Drosophila melanogaster: one gene and its partners. The protein of the gene in region 1 interacts with the protein of each later gene in a pairwise test. Each region holds a gene or a part of one and is shown on either strand. Other genes may lie near its edges.

Region 1 (6,977 bases):
GAGCTGTGTGCCCTAAAGGGGAAGCACGAGTGGGATTGCCATAACTACCTTCGCGTCTATGCACTGCGTCCCAATGGCGAGGTGCTGCTCTGCGGCACCAATTCGTATAAGCCGCGCTGTCGTCACTACACGCCGGTGGAAGTGTCATCCGAGGAGGCCGGCTCTGCTGGTCACGCCCATGCCATGCGCTACGAAGTCAGCCGAGATGTGGAGGCCCAGGGCCTGTGCCCCTACAGCCCCGCCCACAATAGCACGTACGCCTTCGCCGACGGGCATTTGTACAGCGCCACCGTGGCGGACTTTTCGGGTGGAGATCCTCTCATCTACAGGGAGAACCTGCGTACCGAACAATATGATCTCAAGCAACTCAACCAGCCGGACTTTGTTGGCGCCATCGAGCGCAACGGTTACGTGCTGTTCTTCTTCCGCGAACTCTCAATGGAAGTCATGAACTTTGGCAAGGCCGTTTATTCGCGCGTCGCCAGGGTTTGCAAGAACGATAGAGGTGGTCCCTACAGTCACGGCAAGAGTTGGACTTCCTTCCTTAAGGCGCGACTCAACTGCTCGGTGCCCGGCGAGTTTCCGTTCTATTTTGACGAAATCCGTAAGTTTTAATAGACGTTTTGGATATTCTTTACAAAAATTATAATCTCAATTGTTGCAAACTCCATTTACAGAGGCCATTAGTCCGATTGTGGAGAGCGGATCCAAGTCACTGATTTATGCTGTCTTCACAACCTCTGTGAATGCCATTCCTGGCTCGGCCGTATGCGCATTTAACGTAGACGATATACTGGCCGCCTTTGATGGAGAGTTCAAGTCGCAGAAAGATTCACAGTCCCATTGGCTGCCAGTGGAGCGTGAGCAAGTGCCGAAACCACGTCCAGGACAGTGCGTTGAGGACTCTAGAACTCTGACCAGCATCGCGGTTAATTTCATTAAGAACCATCCCTTGATGGAGGAGGCTGTGCCAGCAGTGCACGGTCGTCCGCTGCTGACCAAGGTGAATCTGCACCACCGACTTACTGCGATCGCAGTGCATCCGCAGGTAAAGTCCCTAAGTGGAGCTTACTACGATGTTATATACAGTGGCACCGATGACGGCAAGGTGACCAAGTTCATCAATATACTGAGCACTCACCCGAACTCAACTGTTGATCGCCTGAAGACAGTGGTTATATCAGAGATGCAGGTCCTTCCACTTGGAACGCCAATTAGGGAATTGGTGATCTCCACTTCGAAAAACTCGTTGGTTGTGGTTAGCGATGGCAGCTTGGTTAGCGTGCCCCTGCACCACTGCTCTCACATTGTCGACTGTCTGGGCTGCTTAAGTCTCCAGGATCCCATTTGCGCCTGGGACTTACAGACACACGAATGCAAGAACCTGGCTACGAGTCAGCACAAGTTCGGAACAAAGACTTATTTGCAAAGCTTGAATAGCACCAAGAAAGCCGCTGCCTTGCTATGTCCTCATATTCCCCGAGATGCACCCGGTGCGGAAACAGTAAGCTTTGTTACCATGGCTCCACCGCCAACAGAGGAGCAGAAGCTTTTGTACTCCAATGTGGGCTCGTCGCAGGGCAATCAGCCAAGCTTGGAACAACAGCCAACTGGTGGCGATGACTTTGGTTTGAACAAGATCACCCTTACGTCCATGGATCCCGACGATATTATGCCGAATTTGAACGGTTAGTACTAATATTTATTTTCCTAGGAATATTGTGGTTTAATATTCGCATTTCGTTGACAGATCCCCAAAAGTCTACGGCCAGTGTAGATGAAATCAAATATGCTTCAACGCCCAGCTTCATGCTACTTACAACTATCGTTTTCTTTACCTTCCTTGTGGGTGGAATCGCAGGAATATGCTGTGTGAAGGCTAAGAGCCGCCTGATGGAGGCCCAAATGGATGAAAGTCACCGCAATCATTTCGGCAAGCCAATGTAAGTTTTATCTTGGAAGATGCAAATCCATATTGGACAATTCTAATTAAATGGTTTTGACAGGCAATTTAAACATCAAAATACTGGCAAAGACATCAACCTGTTAATGGGCTCCAATGCCTATACGACCACACAAAAAACACCTAATCTGGATTTAGAAAAGGATCGCAGTCATGAGTGCAAAAACTCCACGGAACATTTGGAAAAAGAGCTGCCCTGCAAAACGTCAACGCTGACAAAAGTGAAACGCACTTACATCTAGTGGCCTTGTGAGGGCAGCCAACTGCAAAATTAGTCGAATTTCTATACTCTAAAACATATTTTCGTTGTTTATGTTGCTGTTAGTTATAGTAACCCCCCACCCAATTTGCGAATAATGTAAACGACAGTCTCGGATGCGTTTGAAACGCATCCGAAAGATAGGAAGCAGAGCTGTTGCGTCTTTTTTACTTAGCTTGTATTGTAATTTAATTTGATGTAAAATTTGCGTAAGCTTAGTTTCTTTGTCAAAATTTAGTTAAATTTATTGACAACGTAGTGTGCGGGCTGCCGCAGCCTGGAGCTAACCCGAAGCATTCCGCATTCCCCTGACGTCGACCTTTGCTGTCCAAAATAGGAGTGCCGGCTCTTGGCTACGCAGCCCGATTGTGTCGCCCCTTATGTGTACTCTTAATGTATAATCTTTAAGTGCAAATATTAGAGCTGTACAAATTTAATCACATATCATGCATACCGAAATCGAACCCGAAGCGGACCAGCCCCAATTATTTCTCGAAATTCAATCGAATATTCAACAAGTATTTTGTTAGACTGAATGATTAATTATTCTATATGAGTTTGTTTTGTGGAGAACTAACAGAATGCGACAGAGACTTTAAAGCTCTATGCTTTGTGGCTAACAAAAGCGTAAAATTGTATCTAACATAAGCTCTATAAGGAATTGAACATAGAATGTAATTAAAAGTACGAACTAGGCTAAGAAACGAAGAAAACTTCTATGAGGCTGTTTGATAAGAACTGACACCGCAGCCCCCACATCATCAGATGGAAAAACGCACAAGAAAGCGAAAATAAATGAACACTGCAACAACAGCAAGCCTTATAAATAGTATAAAATCGTGTCGAATCTAGGCCTTAACGCTAAACTTGTAAGCTTTGGATGGAAATAATGAGCTTGGTTGGCAATCAACGTAAATCAGCATTTTAATAATTTTATGTTTAATTTCTAAGCTGTTGTCCGTCCCACTAAAGAAGTTGCATAAATACAATGTACAATGGCAATTTTATTTTTAAAACGTGTAAAATGCAATTTTCATCGTAATTAATATATTTTTATACGTATATGTACGCCTAATGTCTAAATCTTAACATAAGAAAGTCTTAAAAATGGAAAATCCCGATAAAAGCTATATATAAAATATTTTTAAATCTTACAAAAAAAAACGTAATGTAATGATTTCTCATATTGTGATAGATTTTATTGAAATTTTAGAAAGATGAAATGATATGCCTTTTGGTTGAAAAACAATGATATATATGACGAACGAGTCTGATTGCATGCATGATAATATTGCGTAGGAATGGGTCTTCCACTCGGAGGATCAAGAACCAGAGAAAACCCTTCATGGTGTTTAGTTTTTATTACTGTGTATGTCCTTGTAATGTGTATATTGTTGTATACATCCGATAAGCAATTCGTAAATCTAATAAAGTCGTCATTTTTTTCATAACTCAATGTGGTCTTTTAATAGGTTCGGATCTATGAAACATTGAATTTTTACAGCAAATATGGTTTGGTTATATTTATTGAAATCAATCATTTTTCCAATAAAGGCTAATTTCAAAATTTGAATAGTTTACGATAAAGCCTTTCGCGCCGAAAAATGATCGATAACTTCTGATATGGCTCTACAATACATCAGCCTCGTGATTTTCTGAATAAGATTCAACGGTCACACCAGGCACTACACTTTTGGCGTGTTGCACATTTCAGTGTTTAATTAAAGTAAAAAGCCCAGGTCGCGGTTATATAACAAAATGAACAGCCTAAGGACAGCAACCATGCGATTTGCCGCTCTGGCCAGCTCCAGTGCCGGATCTCTCGGCAAGCGCGATTTCACCCGCAGCCTGTGGCACATGACCAAAAAGCCGGTGACAGCCGGAGGATCCGATCATGTAACCGTGTTGAATCTCCACAAGCCCAGCATTAATTGCACGTGCGGCTGCAACGTGCACACCAAATGTAAGTTAACTCAACAAATTCTTACATGGGCGGTCCATGCCGCCGGTTACATAACCTCAAACGTTGGGTGACGAAATGTTGACCAAAACACAGAAAATTAAACGCTTTGTTTATATCCAGGTGAGCGGGAACTGGTGGAGTTCCTCACCGAGGAGATAGTGGCCGAGCGCAAGGTTCAAAAGGGCAAGACGGTGCCAAGCACCCTGGATGGATTCGCCGTAAAACTGACCGGCGCCGATGTGGAGCTCACCAAGCAGACGGATAAGGAAAAGGTGGTGGTCAGCTTCAATGTGAACCATACGGTGGACAGCGAGGAGGAGCCCGAAATCAACCCCAATGCTGACAAGCCGGATCTCGGTGAAATGAGAAGCAAGCCCCAGTTCGAGGTGGACATCATAAAGGGCAACTCTACGCTGTCCTTTACCTGCAGCTTCCTTCAAGGCGAAGCTCAGGAGGGCGAGTACAGTGAGTACTTTGACAGAAATCGTTTTGATTCACCGATAACACAGGTTTTACCTTTCAGACGATGTCTTCTCCATTGATGAAATGGCCATCTTCGAGGGCGAGTGGAACGATAAGGTCTACGCCGTCGCAGGCGACGTGCTTGACGGTTACTTGTACGACTTGCTGATCAACTTGCTGGAGGAGAAGGGCATCAGTCAGGAGTTTGCCGAAAAACTGTCGGACCTAGCCACTGCCCATGAGCACACTTCCTACATTGGTCTGCTGGAAAAGCTCTCCAAATTCACTGCCGGTGGCAAGTGAATGTTCGTCCCACTTAATCTTAAAGCATAAAGTTGTGTAGGTTTTTAAGTTTCTATTGTCTGCTGTCGCAGTTTCATCACCTAAAACAGTTTTTATTAGTTGTGTTTTTGGTTTAACTGTGACAGTGAAACTTAGTTTTTAAGCCATAAAACATTCATACATGTTTCAGATAAAACTATAGAAACGGTTGCCAATAATTCACCCTTTTCGGCATCAGCTTCGCTTTGGTTTTTAACAAATACAACGTTAATTCCCTAGTTTTTTTTTTTGTTTATTTTCTTTCTATGGTTGCATCGATTTTTCGTAAAGATTTTCCTGTGGGTTGAGTTTCGTGATCATTTAGAACTGCCGGAAATATGGCCTGGGATCGTAGTCACTTGGTCGGTATCCTCCCCAGTCCTCGTGGTTCTTGCAGGCGGCGCAGATGAGGAGAGCGAGGAGCACGAGGATTGGCAGCAGTTGCATCTTGATTAACGGCAAGTTAACTTTAGATTGTGGTGCTGCAGCTTTTAATGCTCCTCTTTATAGGTGAGATTGCCTCACCTTATCGTTGAAATAGTGACCTTTCTCTTGGGGAAGTACTCCGATCTGTTTATTGGGCGATGGGATTTACCATTAATGTACGACCTATATGTGTTATTGTTTCACAATAAGCAGGATTATCAGCGTGGAGGCCATGTAATGTCATACTTTGTCATTAAGATGGATTTTATATATTTCGTTAAAAAGCTTTTTTTTATACGACCAATAATAAGAACTGCGACCATTACCTAATCATAGGCTTGTATATACTTCTAAGAAACTCAAAGACGGATTCTGTCTGAATATAACATTTTTTATAGTTCGCTACTTGAACTTATTTATAAAACATTCACTAAATAATTTACATAAGGATACGAGTCATGGAACTAAACCAAAGCTGCTTCTGGTACTTGGTAGACCTAGGCTGTTCCTCCACTCTGGTGTCGGCGCTGATTACCGGTGAGGTCATTGTGTCCCGGGTTCTGGCCCACTGTGGATTCAATGCCGTTGCCAGGATGCTGGAGCTGCGTAACGGGTCAACTTTTTGTCTTGGGTTGCGTCTTTCCGCCGGAACTACTCGCATTGTCGTACTCCGAGCCGGTGCAGTACTCAGATCCGACCTCCCGCAGCTCAATCTTTTGCTCCCTCATGGCGCGCTAAAGGTCAAAGATTGGGTCAACCAGCTGGATGATGAAACTTGAAACCTGGGCTTACCTTGACGCACTCCTGATAGACCCGGAAAATCGGCGCGCAGCCCGAGTCATCCGTCTGGCCCTTAAGGAAGCCTTCCGAGAACCAGCTGTTGAAGCAGGCGTCGTACTGCTTCTTTAGCTCATTGCAATCCTCGCCAATGCTGTTCATTTGTGGAGTGAAGCTCTTTGAGTTTCAGTTATAATTTCTCTATTGAATAATAAGTCGAAAAAAATGTGAGAATGGTTTGTGTGAGGGTCATACTACAGATAAGCTATCAGAGATGTGGGACACAGCATATCGATGTACGTTTCGTTGAAACTGAACGTGCTATCGAAATTTGAATTTTCAATTCTTTAAGAACATCTAATTTATTTTAATAAAGGCACTCTGGTTATAACGAAATCAGTTGTCCATGTTTCATGATGATACTATTAACAGTCAAAGTACTACGAAATGTTTCTCTTTACAAGTATTTTGTAGCGCGTGCAGCCACCAATTAACGCTGGCGAGGATTAGGATGGCTATATGGAGCAGCTTACGGGGTCAGCTTTCGCCCGCCTGCTGCTGTTTTGCATCAGATCTATTCGCATTATTCTCCTCAAGCCCGGTTTCGAAGATCGGATCTATCTCTTGCAAATCGATCTTCTTCTCCTTAATAGCGCGCTGGGGATTACAGGTTGGTCAAACCATACGTGGTTAGGGAGCCGATTAGCTCACCTTGACGCATTCCTGATAAACCCGGAAAATCGGAGCACACGCTGAGTCATCCATTTGACCTTTTAGGAAGCGTTCAGAAAACCAGCTGTTGAAAC
Region 2 (6,845 bases), on another chromosome or scaffold:
ATCGCTGGCAATCCCGGTGCTTTCTGGCACGTGACTCACGCACCCATTCTTTGACTCCCACATTCCCCGGATCCCTGGATCCTTGGATCCTTGGATCCTGGGCAGGATGCCCCACAATTATGCCCTTTCCTGACCACAGACGTGGACACTCTGCATGCCAAACTTTTCCACTTTGCAACTATTTCAAAAGTGAAGCGAAACTTGTGGCCCACTTAGTCGTCCGTCCATGTCCATACACACACACACAAACACACACACACACGGCTAAATGTATTTATGTATATATTTTCGGATATCCCGCCCGATGTCCGTGTGTCAACGCCGCAGTTTGGGTCTCCGACGTCGATTTCCAATGCGGTTCGTGTCTTTGCCTGCTGCATGATTTATGATTTCTGCCTCGAAAAGTATTTGTGGCATTCCATTTTCCCCCGCATTTGTGGCCCTTTCCTTGAGGTCCAAAATCCGCATCCCGTATCCCTTATCCGTATCCCCGAGTCCAAATCAGAAGCCAACTCAGTGGCAGACTCACTGCCAGAAGCGTTCAAAGTTGTCTACTCAAATCATTTTAATTGAAAATTACACATGAGCGGAGCCGAGGAGAAGTAAACTTTTAATCACAAGTAGGCGACTTTCGGAATGCCCTCTAACTTCTTCTTCGGCTCCATAGTATGTATATATTCTTTTATATTAATATAGTATATAGTATATAATATAAAATTAGCTAATTTTAAAGCCCAAGCTTTTCAGTTTCGTCTTTGTAGGGCAGCGAAATGTGCTAGACCAAAGGGAACCGGTGAGTGCTTCCAAGGGCAGTGGATGGTGATTTTGACTTTTAGCACAGCACATGTCCTTGGGCTGAGAACCTGTGTACCAACCACCGAACCATCACTCCCCCCCCCCCTCCACCAATTAAACCGTAAGACCCCACCCCTGGCTCCCCCCTGCCCACTACAGATTTTCCCCCAAAAGGTTTCGCGGGCTTGCCCAGGACCTTGGCTCTCGGTTTTTGGCCTGGCACATGGCACGTTTTGTCCGTACCGGAAATGTCCATTCACTTGCATATTAACAAAGTTCCGCACACTCACACACCAGTTGCTATTTGGTCTATGCAAATGCACTGCGAGAAATGGAGAAATGGAAATGGACTTGCGTTTTGGGGTATGTTTTGCATATAGATTATAATTCTGTTAAAACAGCACAACAAATAACCATTGCATACCAATTTCACTACATCAAATCTCAGTCGTCTGCACGTTTCAGTGTATGCTTGCTTGGCAGCAGTACTTAATAAACTCCCCAGGAAGAGACGCAAAAGAGAAGGCCAACCAAGTTGGTCGTACATCATAGGGTCCTTTTCCATATCCTCACCATGGGGGAGAGGCTATGCCAGGGTTTGTGGGGGCGGCGGCGGCGGCGGTGGAAAGGAAACAGGAAAGTATTTTGAAGGCACCGGAAACCGGAAGCAAGCAATAATTCAAATGAATTTCAAATCAAATCATTGCAAAACATTTACAAAGTATGTGCGCCAAAGCGCTGCACAAAACCGCACAAGAGCCAAATGCCAGCAAGTTCAACTTTGACTTTTGCCAGCAGCTGCAGGTGGGCGCCCACGCCTCCTCCATTCGGCCTCTTGCCTTCCACGCCCCTTTCCACAATTTTTCACCACCCATGCCACTATGGCCTTGCAGTGATTAATTTCTATTATTATGACACTGATTAGGTCCACTTACAGGCTCATTACAGTCATGAGCACATAATACACAGCCCGGACACGTGACGGTGATTTAGAGGTTCGCGAAATGGAACAGCGGCGCCGCACGAGGGGTCGTCCTGCTGACCAGGACGAGGAGCAACGGGCGCCACTCCCCGGGCGCCATCCTGCAGACATTTATCAAGACATTGACCGCCGCATGCAGAGCCGACCGGAGACCGTTTGTCTTGCACTTGACCAGGGGCTCACCAAGGGGGTTCTAAACGGGCCAGCGCACCTCGCAGACACACCGACTGGCGGCCCTTTGAACATGAACACCAGTTGGCCCATAAATTAGTGCAACTACGCCAAATCCACTGGCCTACACAAATTTGAGGCTTTGCAATCGCAAATTTGGTCGATTGGAAAACATACACAAGGTGAGAGCAATGATGTCCATGAAATATGCATGTTATACCAAAGCTAAAATTTAATTATCCATTTCACGCCTTTGCCATAATGACCTCGAATAAAACCACCTTGGTTGCAGAGTGTAATTGCTTTCAATCATTTAAATAAATAAATAAGGTTGCCTTCTCGCATACTAATAGTAATCATTAAAAAAAAAAAAATTCCTTGGCTGGGGGGCAAAAAAAAAGTAATTTTTCGCTTAACTAAGAAAGGCGGTGGATCCTCTTCTCAACCGCGATTTGGTCGCACCACCATCACCTGGGCCTTATTCTTGCCCCGCTTGTTGCCACGCCGGCGACGTCGCTGATTGTTGTTGTTAATGCTGCCACGCCTCTTGTTGACCCGGCGCCTACGGGCGGGAACGCGCCTCCTATTGTTCTGGCCACCGGGACGCACTCGACTGGACACCGCCTGGCCAACGATCTGCGGCAAGAGACCGGCAACTGGCGAGGATCCATAGATGACCTGATTAATGGCCGCATTGGTGGCCGACGAGGAGGAAGACGATGATGATGAGGATCCCGAACTGCCCAGGTTCACATAGATAGCTCCATTGGAAGTCGTGGTGACCAGGCCAGTTCCGGTTCCCGAAGTCGTTCCTGTTGTTCCCGTCGATGTGCCCGTAACAGCTCCCGTTCCCGTTGATGTGGTGCCCGAAGTGGGACGCAGTTGCTCCAGCATATCCTGCTTATTGGTTATGTACTGATTCAGGGCCGAGTTGATACCGGTGTTTGAAGAGCTGGTGCTGCTGCTGCCACTGTTCAAGCCCGATGCCAGGAATCTCAGCTGGCCATTTTCGTTGCCATCCTTCACATAGATGCCGGCCAAACGGGTATTTTGTTCCTTGGCCAGCGGATCCTTTTCGACCTTCTGGGCCATTGCTGGGCAACAACTGCCCAGCAGACAGAGCACTAGAATTGCGTAGATCATTTCTGGACGATGGACCATCGAACTGTGTGTGCCATTGGGCAGATCTTTGGCACTTTTATAGCCCAACATGAGTTGACGGAAATCGACTTTCATCGGTCATGGATGCCATGATGCCCGGAATTTTGCTTGCCAATATATATAGGTTATAGGTTTTAGAAAGCCTTTCTTCATTCTTCTCGCACCATTTTTGCTGGCCCCGAGGCCAAATAGTTGGACTTTTCAAGTGGCAAGAGCGTGTCAAGAAGTGCCCCTACTTGTAGGCCATTGTTTGCTTTGCCGCGGATCGTGAACCTCAAGTGGTCGCAGCCGAAACCGAAAAGCAAAACCAAAGCCAAAAACCAAAACCAAAAACCAAGGAGCCACACTTTAATTAAAATTTAAAATCAGCAACAGAAACACGTCTGCTTGCAGCTTCAGTTGGGGGTTTTTTCGGGCACAGTGGGTAATAATATAAATGGGAATTTGAAATCCAAATCGTATATTGGTTTTTGTACCTTTTAAGGGTTCTATTAGCAACGGAATACTGCTCTATAGCCGAGCAAATACTCTGCACGATACAAAGTTGAACCCATAAACCGCTGTTGCCCCTTTATGCACCCACTTAACGCTTTCTCTCTCTCTCTGAGAATTGCATATTTTCATTCACTCCTTTTTTTTTTTTTTTTTGGATCAACCGCTGTGAGATTGTGCATTCGGAATGGTTTCCATCACTTTGGCGCCAGTGTGCCGCAGATGGCGCCCCCTATTGGGGCGCATTTAACCCCCGGAATCCCCCTTTTTGCCAGCCTCATTTCATTTGCCGTTGATGCGATGCTGCCTTGCTGGTGGTGCCTTGCTTCTCAATTTTTCGCCTAAGTTGGCCAACCGACAGTTTTGGGGCTGAATGCCTGGCGGGGGCTGTTGAAATAAATTTCACTTACGCCAACGCTCACACACACGCACCAAAACTACACTGGCCAAAAACACAAAGGATTGCTCTTAAACTAAGAAAAAACAAAGAAAGGGGCAGCCATGTTAAGCATATATTTTTGTAATTGTAGCGATATATGATGATAGTATGTCCCAAATTCCGCTTTTAAGAACCACCAATTGTTTTCTGCCAGTGCAGCGCACACATGGAGCGCCACACGAACGTAGAGACACATACGAATGTCGCTCACTGTTCGCGGTTCGTCCTTTACTTGGCAATGCAATTACAGGCGCTAACCGCGCGTGAAAACAGCAACAGTGGCAATAACAACAACGGCTAAGGGAGAAACTATCCATCCACACCGAAGGGAAGCATATGCTCCTAAAATCATCTTTAAACCGGACTATCCACACGAATTATAATGCGCAGGCTAAACTAGTTTCAAAGCTAATATTAGTAGATAGTATTATAGTGATGTGCATTCAAATAGAACTGGTAATATCATATATATACTAACGTATAGAAAATAAATATATTGAATATGATCATACTTAATAATTTGTTTGTCAACTTAAAAGCTGTCAATTTGCTCAACGATTTGCAGTGACATTCGGCAAGGCAAGAGTATGTCCGATAGTCTTTCCTGCTCCTTGGCCTTCCTCTTGATTCACTTTATCCGGCACCACCTCTCGATTTTCCCCACCCCACACGCAAGGTGAGGCTTCCATTTCCCATTTTCCTGCCACTGAGCGGCTTAAAGCGACGCAATGACAATTAACAACAGGCGACGACAAAACGACAACGAAAGAAGGTGAGGCTAAAAATGGGATGGAGGTTGGGAGGTACTCAGAGGTACTTTTGGGTGGTTGGGGAAAATGCCATATCAATGACAGCACCAGAAGCCCGAGAAGAAAAATAAAGCGACAACTTCACGCCAGGACTCCTCGCAGGAGATTCCACCCACTTGCCAAACCACCACCCACAACCCACCACACAACATCCGACATCCAACAGCCAACACCCACCTGCCCCACACACTTACGCATATTAACAGGCTTGAATTTTTCAGTTTTTCGCAGACTTTTCCAGCAACACACCAACACACCAATAGCCCACCCCTTCCATTTTCATTTGCACGTGCAATTGAAGTGCAAAATGCGTTTGGCAATAGAATTGCCAGCTAAAGTTTTCCCCAAACCAACTCCAATTCCCGCTTTTACCCAGATTTCATTCTCTACCACAATACAAAACTCAGTTCCGTTCTTTCGTCTACTCAATTTTTATTTTTGCTCCACTTCGGTTTGGTTTTTGAAGGGAAATTTTTGTAAGTGAAATTTCAATGACATTTTAATGGAAATTGCAAATGAATGATGAAGTACGTTGGGGAGGGGGGAGGGGGGGGTGGATAGTGGAGGTAGGTGTACTTAGTGGCTTGGAAAACTGCACAGACCATCGGGGGGAATTACAGACTTGCATAATTGATGCCAAACTTAGGGATATCTTGGCACTTAGCAAGCGTAAAGCAGTGCCAAAAATAAAAAAAAAATAAGTGAAATAGCACAGAGAAACTCAAATGTATAGCAGTGAAACCTTTAAAAAAAAGAGGCTAAAAAACACTAGTTAAAATAGGGCTTATACATGGATATCAGGGGCCTAACTCTTGAATGGAATTTTAAAAAATGCATTCATTCAGAACGCGTTTTAATGAAATTTCCCGGCGACGCCATTCCATGTCATCCCGCTCCCGCCTTTAAAAGAAAACTTCACACAAAGGGATAAACTGGGCAGACATGCGAACAGAGTCCCTTCGATTGGGGAATAAAGATGCACAGATCCCCACATGGCATCACATCACGATTCGACTTTGCCCTCGTGTCTGGCGTCAGCTGTAGCTCAAAGAAGCTGGGGTCGGAAAAATCGAATTTTTGAAATTTGAAAGCTGGAATCGTTTGCCCATTTTTTGCCCATGTTTGCCCACCAATTAGTTTTTTTTGCCCACGTCCAGTTTTTGAGATATGAATTTTCGAAAAAGTTCGAAAATTTTCGAAAATCAAAAATTTCGCTTTTTTCAAATTTTTTTTTTTTAAATCGCAATAACATCGTTTGCCCACGTTTGCCCACCCTTTAGAATTTTGAAAAAATTTATACTTTAGGAAATATAAGGCTTTTAAGTTTACCTCGGTCTAATCAGAGAGTAAATCGTTTGCCCATCCAAATATTATCAACAAAAAACGTTTGCCCAACCATTATTATTAGTTTTTATCGTTTGCCCACCCTTTAAAAAACCTTTAACAAAAATTTTTTTTCGATTGCCCACATTTAAAATACAACCAATTTCCTTAGCCCACCTCTTTAAAATAAAAATTTCCAATAAAAAACGTTTGCCCACCATTTAAAACTAAATAATTTCGATTGCCCACCTTTTAAAACTAAATAATTTCGTTTGCCCATCCTTTAAAATTCATTTTTAACGTTTGCCCACCCTTTAAAAATAAATTATTTAGTTTTAAGAGTGGGCAAACGAAAAAAACAAATTTTAAAGGATGGGCAAACGAAATTATTTAGTTTTAAAAGGTGGGCAATCGAAATTATTTAGTTTTAAGAGTGGGCAAACGACAAAAACAAATTTTAAAGGGTGGGCAAACGAAATAATTTATTTTTAAAGGGTGGGCAAACGTTAAAAATGAATTTTAAAGGATGGGCAAACGAAATTATTTAGTTTTAAAAGGTGGGCAATCGAAATTATTTAGTTTTAAGAGTGGGCAAACGACAAAAACAAATTTTAAAGGGTGGGCAAACGAAATAATTTATTTTTAAAGGGTGGGCAAACGTTAAAAATGAATT
Region 3 (7,935 bases), on another chromosome or scaffold:
CTAGGCGCCTGTTTCGTAGGCAATCAGTCGGATAAGGCGCTACAGATATTGGTGGCTACGCCCGTTTTTTGCTACTGGATCTTTGGCTCGATGAATCTGATCTCCGGCTATTTGGTACACTGTCGCACCAAGGAGATCCTGAGGAATAGCAATGCACTCAGCGTGCAACAGCAACTGCAACAGCTAAGCGCACACAGTAGTTCCGGCATTGGCATATTCCTTTTCATCTATGGACTTGCATGTGCCATGCTTCTGTTGGCTGTCATTTACGAGTTTGCCAACATCGATGTCTGGCTGGGATCGGGTGATACCAATACGCCACTTTGGCCATTTTTGTTGCGCGCCTTCATGGAACTGATGCTGGGCATTTGCTGTTTTGCCTGGGTACTTGGACCAAGCATTTCCACTCTCTACAAGAGGCAAGTCAGCAATGGCAAAATGGTGAAGCATACGTCTGCCGGAGCAGCAACTGGACACCTGGACGGGCATAGTAGCTCGCGTGGATCGCATGCGGCTTGCAATAGCACGGTGGTCTCCTACCATTCGGTGCGAACTTCTATGGCCAGTGTTCCGTTGCCGCCAAGTCCGTACAAACTGAAGACTTCGCCTGGTACCGGCTCTATATCGCTGAATCAGATGTCCAACTATTCGCTGGGCAGGAGCGTGCATCACCAGCAGCGCCATTCGCCGCATCATCATCATCACCAGCAGCAGCAGCATCATCAGTTCCATCCCCACCACAATCACCAGCATCACTCCACATCCTCGCATCGGCTGTATTATCCGCCAGGTAGCTATGCCTCGCAAAAGTACAGCCAGCACGGCAGCTACTATCCCCACTTGCAGCAGTATGGCAATGAGACGCTACTCTAGACGGAATTGGATTAGGTACCATTTCAGGGCAGGAAATGCTTCCTGCTTCCAGTCAATGTTCCTGCAGCAGCTGCTGTGCCAAAGTCAATCCTCTACTATAACTTAATGCGGTTTCGGGTATCGAAAGAGGCAAAGCAACTTAAATGGGTGGGGAAACGGTCCAATTTGTTTGTCATAAAACGATCGTGAGATAACGATATCGTTATTTCGATTTTAGTTGCTTTGCCTGTCCATAGAACACAATGGGGTAAACCGATCTATGTACTGTGTATATAACCCCGGAAATGTGCTCTTAGTGCTTTAGTTTGGGCCTTTATCGCGAGGTCATAGGTCATCTACAATGTATTTGTAATTGCCCTAGATGGGCTTCATATCCTATTTTCCTGTGTGTACTTAATGTTGCTCCTAATTAGTTGCCCCTTGCGTTGCCTTTTTACCATTTTGGTGTAACCAAATTCAATAATCGCTCTTGCCTTTTAGACATTAGGACTTAATGTGTGTCGCCTTTGCGTACATAACACATATATACATATATATATTTAGCATTTTTATATAAATTCTTTTTTTTTGAGTTAGAGAGAGAGAGAAACGCGCAGCAACCAAATACTGTGATACGCATGTTCATGTCTTCAAAAACAAAAAAATAAAAATGGGAACCAGAAACTAGGTTTCCAACTTTGCTGTCTTCTCCCGATGCCGAAACAAGTGTACTTAACAATCGAAAAAAAAAAACGCAATTGCAATCGTAGCCGTAATGCCTAATTGTATTCAGTGTGCCATTAGCTTTAGGGACTTAACTGAAACGAGTCAATATCATGAAATTACCTTAAAAGAGTCCTTTTCCAGCAACGAACTTTGGCGGAATTACTGAGGGTTTTCCTTCAACTTCTGCTGATTTTCGCACAGAAAAAGTCCTACTTCTAAATGTCCAACTAACTAGCTAAGAAACTAACTAACCTTTATACAATTGCGGGCTAATACGAATCGTATGGAGCCCGCGACTAACAGTATATGTATTGTATTGTATTGTATTTTATATGTGTATTTTTTTTATTATCATATATGTATATGTATAACTTATTTGCTAGCGAATAAAGTGTCGAAAAGTTAATATCTGTTTTGATTCATTTCGTTTCGCATGGTTTTTACCAAGTAAAAGAGTCTCCAAGTGTCGCCAGTACTCCATGAGCATTTTGTTTCGCCTTCCTGCCAAGAAAATCGCCACCTTGCACAACCCACCTGGCAAGTGGGTGGCCCAGTGGGCGCCTACTGCCGTGTGGGTGGCAAGGTCGCCTCGCTGCGTGTTGGTTCGCATAGGACGATGGTTTCGTTGCGATTGTTGTTGCCGCTGCTGTTGTTGTTGCTGCTACTGGTCGTGGTCGACATGGCCCGCGGGTGCCAATTGTCAAGGTCCTCGTCGCCGTGCTCCTTGGCCCTGTGGTAGTTCTCCAATTCGCTGGCATACTTGCTGCTGGTGATACCAAGCAGGTGGGCCAGCCCACCGCCCACATAGTCGATGCCGGCCAGGAATCGGTTGCCCATCCTGCTGGCCTTGTAACGCAGGCGTGGTCCCAGCGGCATTTCGCTCTAAAAGGTGGCAAAAAAAAAAAAAGCGGGCTAAATGAGTCACGCTAAATGGTCAATGAGGAGGGGGGCGGGGGGTGGCAGCTGCTTATCTTTTTCGTGGCCCTGGGCCCTGTTTGTTTACTTAAACAGCTCAAAACACACATTTTCATTGAAAGATATAAAATTTCTCACATTATTATCATAATTCGCTTCGAACATTAGTCACGTCTCGAGCTCAAAGTGAAAAGTTATTATCTGGATCAGGAGAACTGGGCTAATCTTGAGCAAATTTAACTAACTGTGTTAATCCGGACAATCCCGCTTTAAAAAAGGTAAACAAGCAATGCAGCTACATGACCATGTACTAAATGGATGGCCGGAAGTGCATTACTCCACCCATAATCCTTGCTGAATGTATGTACCTCGTTTAAATGGACGTCGTAGCATTTGTCGCCCATTTCCGCATCCGCCTCGTCCTCGCTGCCCGAGGACAACTCCTCCATGACGCCGTCGCTAAAGTACAGCATGCGCTTGTTGGACTGCAGTTCAAGGGCGCTCACATTGTCCGTCTCGGATGCACTTGCTCCACTCGCAGATGCCAGTTCCAATCCTCCAGCTGCACTGCGTACTTCGCCACTCTTGTTCCTCTCCGCTGACATGGCTATGGATAGCTCTAAACCCGATTAAGTACCGCCTCGATTGATTGACGCTGCGCGAATGTTTTTGCTTGCGCTTGAGCTTCGTTTGAATCGCAGCCGCCGTTTTGGTCATGAAAAAAGCGGACGCGGGTCAACGCCAAATGCGTATACGGCCGGCTGGGGGCCAAAATGTCCTTGGGTTGGGGGCCACCGGCGAAACGACTCACAAACGGCGAGAATCGCGTGCCATGGGGCGCTTGGCGCAGTTAGGTGCAAAGCAAATCGATAAACTAAAAGCCGCTTTCAAACAGCAAAAAAAAAAGTCGAAACAAAACAAAGGTGCGGCAGTGTGACCAGCTGATGGTTTTTGCAAGCTAACTGGATATTAATTTAGATGTATTGTAATAAAAATGAAATTGCAGTCGTATATATCGTAAATGTTTTTGTTTATAAAAATAATTAATAATATAATAAAAAAATTAAGTTGTGCGTGCACATCCTGTGCTTATAATTTAAATAATATAACAATAAAAAATATTATATTATTAAATAATTAAGTTTAATGGTTTCCTACTCTGTACAATTGACTGGTGCAATGGTTATTAACTTAGCAATATATTCAAAAACTAAAATGGTTATCTAGTGTTCCATATTTAACCATCGCTTGCAATGCATCGCGTTTTAAAGCTCTGGTCACACCAAACAGCTGTTTTGTTTGCTTCGTTTAATTCGTTCTTTTTGCAACAAATTGCATCCCAATCTTCCAAAGCAGGTATCCAAACATGGAGTCCCCAACCTCGCACCTGGTGGCCAAGGGTGAGTGGAAAAAGCGGCAGCCGTCAATGGAATCGGGGTCATAAATTCCCAATTAGATTTCCAGGTGACGGGTGTTTCGCGCAGCGGACGCGTACGCAAAAAATCGTCGAAATTGTTGGATTTTGAATCTCCGGATGAGATCGAGAAGCGCACAAGGCGTCACAGTGGCGCCAGACAGCCAGCCAGATATTCGGGCCGCGGCAGGCCATCGAATGCGCTGCGTGATCTGGATCTTGACCAGGAGATGCTCGTGGATGATGGCATTATCTCGGATAGCGAGGAATTCCATCCGGATACAACGGCAACGGTCGTGGCCATTCTGAATTCCGACGATGAACTGGACAATCTGGTGCAGGATATCGTCGATGGTGTCCAGGCGGAGGCCACCAGCCAAGAGTCATCCGTCCGTCAGAGTCTTTACATGCGCGAGAAGTCCAACAAGCGGCAGGTGCTCAAGGACGGCAAGGTGGTGAGTGCCAAGGTGCAGCGCAAGGACAAGGGCAAGCAGCGCTACACCGCCTACAGTCTGTGGGCCAAGGAGGCGCGACAGAAGGATCTCCAGGATCTAGGTAGGTTGCTACACATCTGTGCGCTCTCTATCGCTTATTGACCATTCCCCGCACGCTTGCAGACTTCACCAGCGCGACCAGACGCCTCAGCGAGCTGTGGGCGAACGTTTCCAATCGGGACAAGAACACCTGGCGGCGCAAGGCCAAAATCGAGGCGTCCAGGGCCAAAACTCGCGACAAAACCGCTGCAAACGGTGCAACCCAGCCGGCGAGCAACGGCAGCACGGCTCTGGCAGATGCCACGCAGCACGAGACGATCTTTCAGAACCGTGCGACAACAAGTCGCACTCGAAAACTGGCCGCCGATCGGCAGCAATCCTCAATAGAAGCGGCTGCCGCAGCGGCGGCAGCAGCAGCGACTGGCACCAACACACAGCGGCGCAGCATCAGCACACGAAGTGCCAGGTCGCAGGTCTCGAAGAGCGCGACGAAACAAGCGCAAGTGCACACGGATGCGGACGTCAGCGGCCGGACTGGGGGTCAGCTGAAGCAGGAGGAGGTGCAAAAGACCAGCATCGAAGTGATCGATGCGGCCGCACATCTGAAGCTGCTCGGCGAGAGCCTGACTGTGATTGGCGAGCGACTGAAGAAGCACAATGGATACGTGGCGCTATCGGGCAGCTTGTCCGTGCTCCTCGACAGCCTGCTCTGCGCCATGGGACCGCTGCTCTGCATGACCACGCAAATACCCGGCATGGAGAACAATGTGCAGTTGAGCAAAAATCTGGCCGACACGCTCGACAACATCGCCTACGTAATGCCCGGACTATGAAGTAAATTCCGGATTGCAACTGCAAATGCATACATATATATATATATATAATCATACCAGGCCGCTGCGCTTCCAGCGGCGACTAGAGTCGCCATCGGGATCTGTATGTTTGTAAGGAGTTGGCCAACCTGGAAATAGTTAATCGCATTAGATATGCCTAGTTGATAAACTGAAGCATCTAGATCGTAAGTAAAAGGTCTCCCTCTAATTGAGTTTTTTTTTTATTTGCTTCTTGAATTGAAATTCGTACGCTAAAAAGTTTAGTAGTTCACTTATTTATTTCCACTTTTTGTTTTTTGCAACATTTAAGCACAAATCATCGAAACATTGGTAGAATTAGGCAACATTAAATATCCTATAATCCTTAAGTGAAATAAATGTGAATCACAAGATTCTTATTTCAGCTTCAAATTAAGCAGGCACTTTTTATAATAAACGTAATAAATAAAGATAAATATAAAAGCTAAAAATATGAGATGATTTCTTCCTCTGCCCAAAAATCTTTATAAAAGTGAAATATTTTTAAAAATGATCTCAAATAAGCCATAATTGAAGGTTCGAATAGTGGAACTATAAGCTAGATATAAACTTTAAATATTTATAAATACGTTAATTATTTGCTTACTTTCTAGAGATGGCACTTCGCTGGTGCGCCATCGATGACTTGGCTTGCCGTTACAACGGCGAGCTATCGATGTTACATCGCCGCCCTGCCCACCACTAGCCAGTCCGCGGAAAGTAAATAAGAAGACGGACGCCAAATCGAATCTTCCCACATCCCCGGATGCAGTGCAGCAAGCTCTGGGTCCCTGAGAATCCTGCGTGGGCCTGGGATTCCGAATCCTCTTCCGCCCCGGATCCGCACGTCAGCGCGGCATCCGCATCCGCCACCGCTTCCGCCCACGCACAGCATCCGCAGCCACATCCGCGGCAGCAAAAAAACGGTGAGTTTTCCACCTGCATTTTTTTTTGGATTTTCCGGGGGGGGGGGGGGCAGCAGCTGTGATTGGGATGGAAAATACTTGTGTAGGTGGACGGTCAGGTTGTAGGGGCGAATTGCGTGACGGCAGCGCTACAAATTGGATTAGTGCGGCGATTGATTCTGAATGGGAGATGTAAACAATCTTCCTGTGCACTGAGAAAAATAACATGGTAAAGCAAGGCACAAAAAAAGATGGAAAGATTGGTTGAATAAGATAAAATAGGTTTAAGACTAAGCTGAAATATCATTAGCCAAAAAACATGAATGTGAAATGAATTACTTTAAAGGATTCTTAAGCACAATTTGTTTAGAAAATAAATTCGATTCAGTAACTGTTAAATTCAAAGCTTAAAAAGAAATGGAATACCTTGCGATTTGCAGTCCAGACATTTTCTCGCAGTGCACTAGCTCCCCGCCCGCTGTTTTGTAATTGGCAATATAAGGAATGCCCGAGGTATCTATTTTTATACCGCTTAGCATAGTCGTTATGGTGATAAATTCCGAAGGGGGGGTGGGGGGTTTGTTCGTTATGCTTTTCAACCCCGTGACCTCCCACCGCGCCCAATGGGGCATACTTTTGGGGGCGCCGGGAACTGGGAGGTGTTTTAATTCCACCATCGTTGGTTTATTGAAAAGTTGTCATAACTCAGAACAGACAAGCCAGCAAAGTTTCGAGTCCTCTCAATTGCGGGCAAATACAGGCAGATCTTAAAACTATAATGTTTCATTAAATTCACGCCGTCATTGAATCGAATATCGTGTTTTCCCGTTGGTAACTATCTAGATATATGAACTAATTTAAAAGGAAAACTCAAGGTTTTTATGTAAAACGAACGCGTGGTTTTTCTAGCAGCTCATTTTCATTTCAATTGAACTTTAAGATGAGCTTAAAACTCGCCTTTCGCATTTCAAATACCAAATAATTGGTAAACATTGCCATTTACACAATCAATCATATTATAACTTCTTCGGGTAATGAGAATGAAAACCTTTTCTTTTGGATTGAAAGTGCAATCGGATTCCGAGAGACGCCATAATCATAATAGTGCGCCCGCGGATGGGCATATGTTCATTTGTACATACATACATCTCATCCGAATCGGACTTTGAGCCATGTTCTCGACACGCGAGATAAGCGGCCGGCAATCAGAGAACTGGTTTCAATTGCGGATCGGGTCAAAATCGCCCAACCTTGGGCCATTGTATGCAAGTTGTCTGTGCGAAACTCAATGAGCATAAATTAGTCTCAATGCAGGAATGCCTCAAGTGTCCGGCCGCTCGTCCATTTCCATTGTCCAACCATTATTGCAGCTGGCCAAGCGCTGGCTTATCACTCGAGGCGAGGCCCAAAAGGCGAAGATAGAGACGAATGATAATCAATTGGCCATAAAACGGGTGAAGTGTGGATGGTGTTTGGGTTAGCCGGGTTAGTCGTCGTCTGTCTAATCGAGTGGCAATCAATCAATTTGGCAAATCGGACAACCAATTCACAATCTAATCCACAGTCTATCCACGATGAGCAACAGCGAAGGAAGCGGCCACGAAAGTGGAATCCGTACACTGAATCGCAATGCGAATGGAAACGGCAATGGAGACCTCAGTCTGATGCAGGATCTGCAGCATAAGTACGCCTTCCTCGAGAATCTCTTCAGCAAGTTCTGGAAGTCTATCATCAAGTCGAATTCCAATCTCAAACTGCAGTTGCGCAATGTCAAGTGG

The links. Proteins that work in one complex are often made in the same cells at the same time.
Region 2: the proteins of P32 (region 1) and CG4116 interact in a two-hybrid assay, tested with the Drosophila melanogaster proteins (2 studies listed by BioGRID).
Region 3: the proteins of P32 (region 1) and CG4617 interact in a two-hybrid assay, tested with the Drosophila melanogaster proteins (2 studies listed by BioGRID).

Annotation. Positions count from the first base shown.
Region 1 is NT_033778.4:17,669,538-17,676,514, reverse strand, and holds P32 (P32), read left to right. Parts: upstream 1-3,874; 5' UTR 3,875-3,980; coding exon 3,981-4,185; intron 4,186-4,305; coding exon 4,306-4,650; intron 4,651-4,708; coding exon 4,709-4,950; 3' UTR 4,951-5,206; downstream 5,207-6,977. Other genes in the region: Sema1b (semaphorin 1b), read left to right, coding at 1-604, 678-1,688, 1,751-1,943, 2,007-2,205; IBIN (induced by infection), read right to left, coding at 5,290-5,415; CG30109 (uncharacterized protein), read right to left, coding at 6,009-6,128, 6,187-6,333; CG30108 (uncharacterized protein), read right to left, coding at 6,709-6,828, 6,883-6,977.
Region 2 is NC_004354.4:3,064,379-3,071,223, forward strand, and holds CG4116 (uncharacterized protein), read right to left. Parts: upstream 3,185-6,845; coding exon 2,390-3,184; 3' UTR 2,237-2,389; downstream 1-2,236.
Region 3 is NC_004354.4:7,100,319-7,108,253, reverse strand, and holds CG4617 (uncharacterized protein), read left to right. Parts: upstream 1-3,762; 5' UTR 3,763-3,859; coding exon 3,860-3,893; intron 3,894-3,949; coding exon 3,950-4,462; intron 4,463-4,524; coding exon 4,525-5,234; 3' UTR 5,235-5,419; exon of another isoform or gene 5,420-5,544; 3' UTR 5,545-5,699; downstream 5,700-7,935. Other genes in the region: fz4 (frizzled 4), read left to right, coding at 5-873; CG8300 (uncharacterized protein), read right to left, coding at 2,140-2,460, 2,862-3,098; CG4615 (uncharacterized protein), read left to right, coding at 7,732-7,935.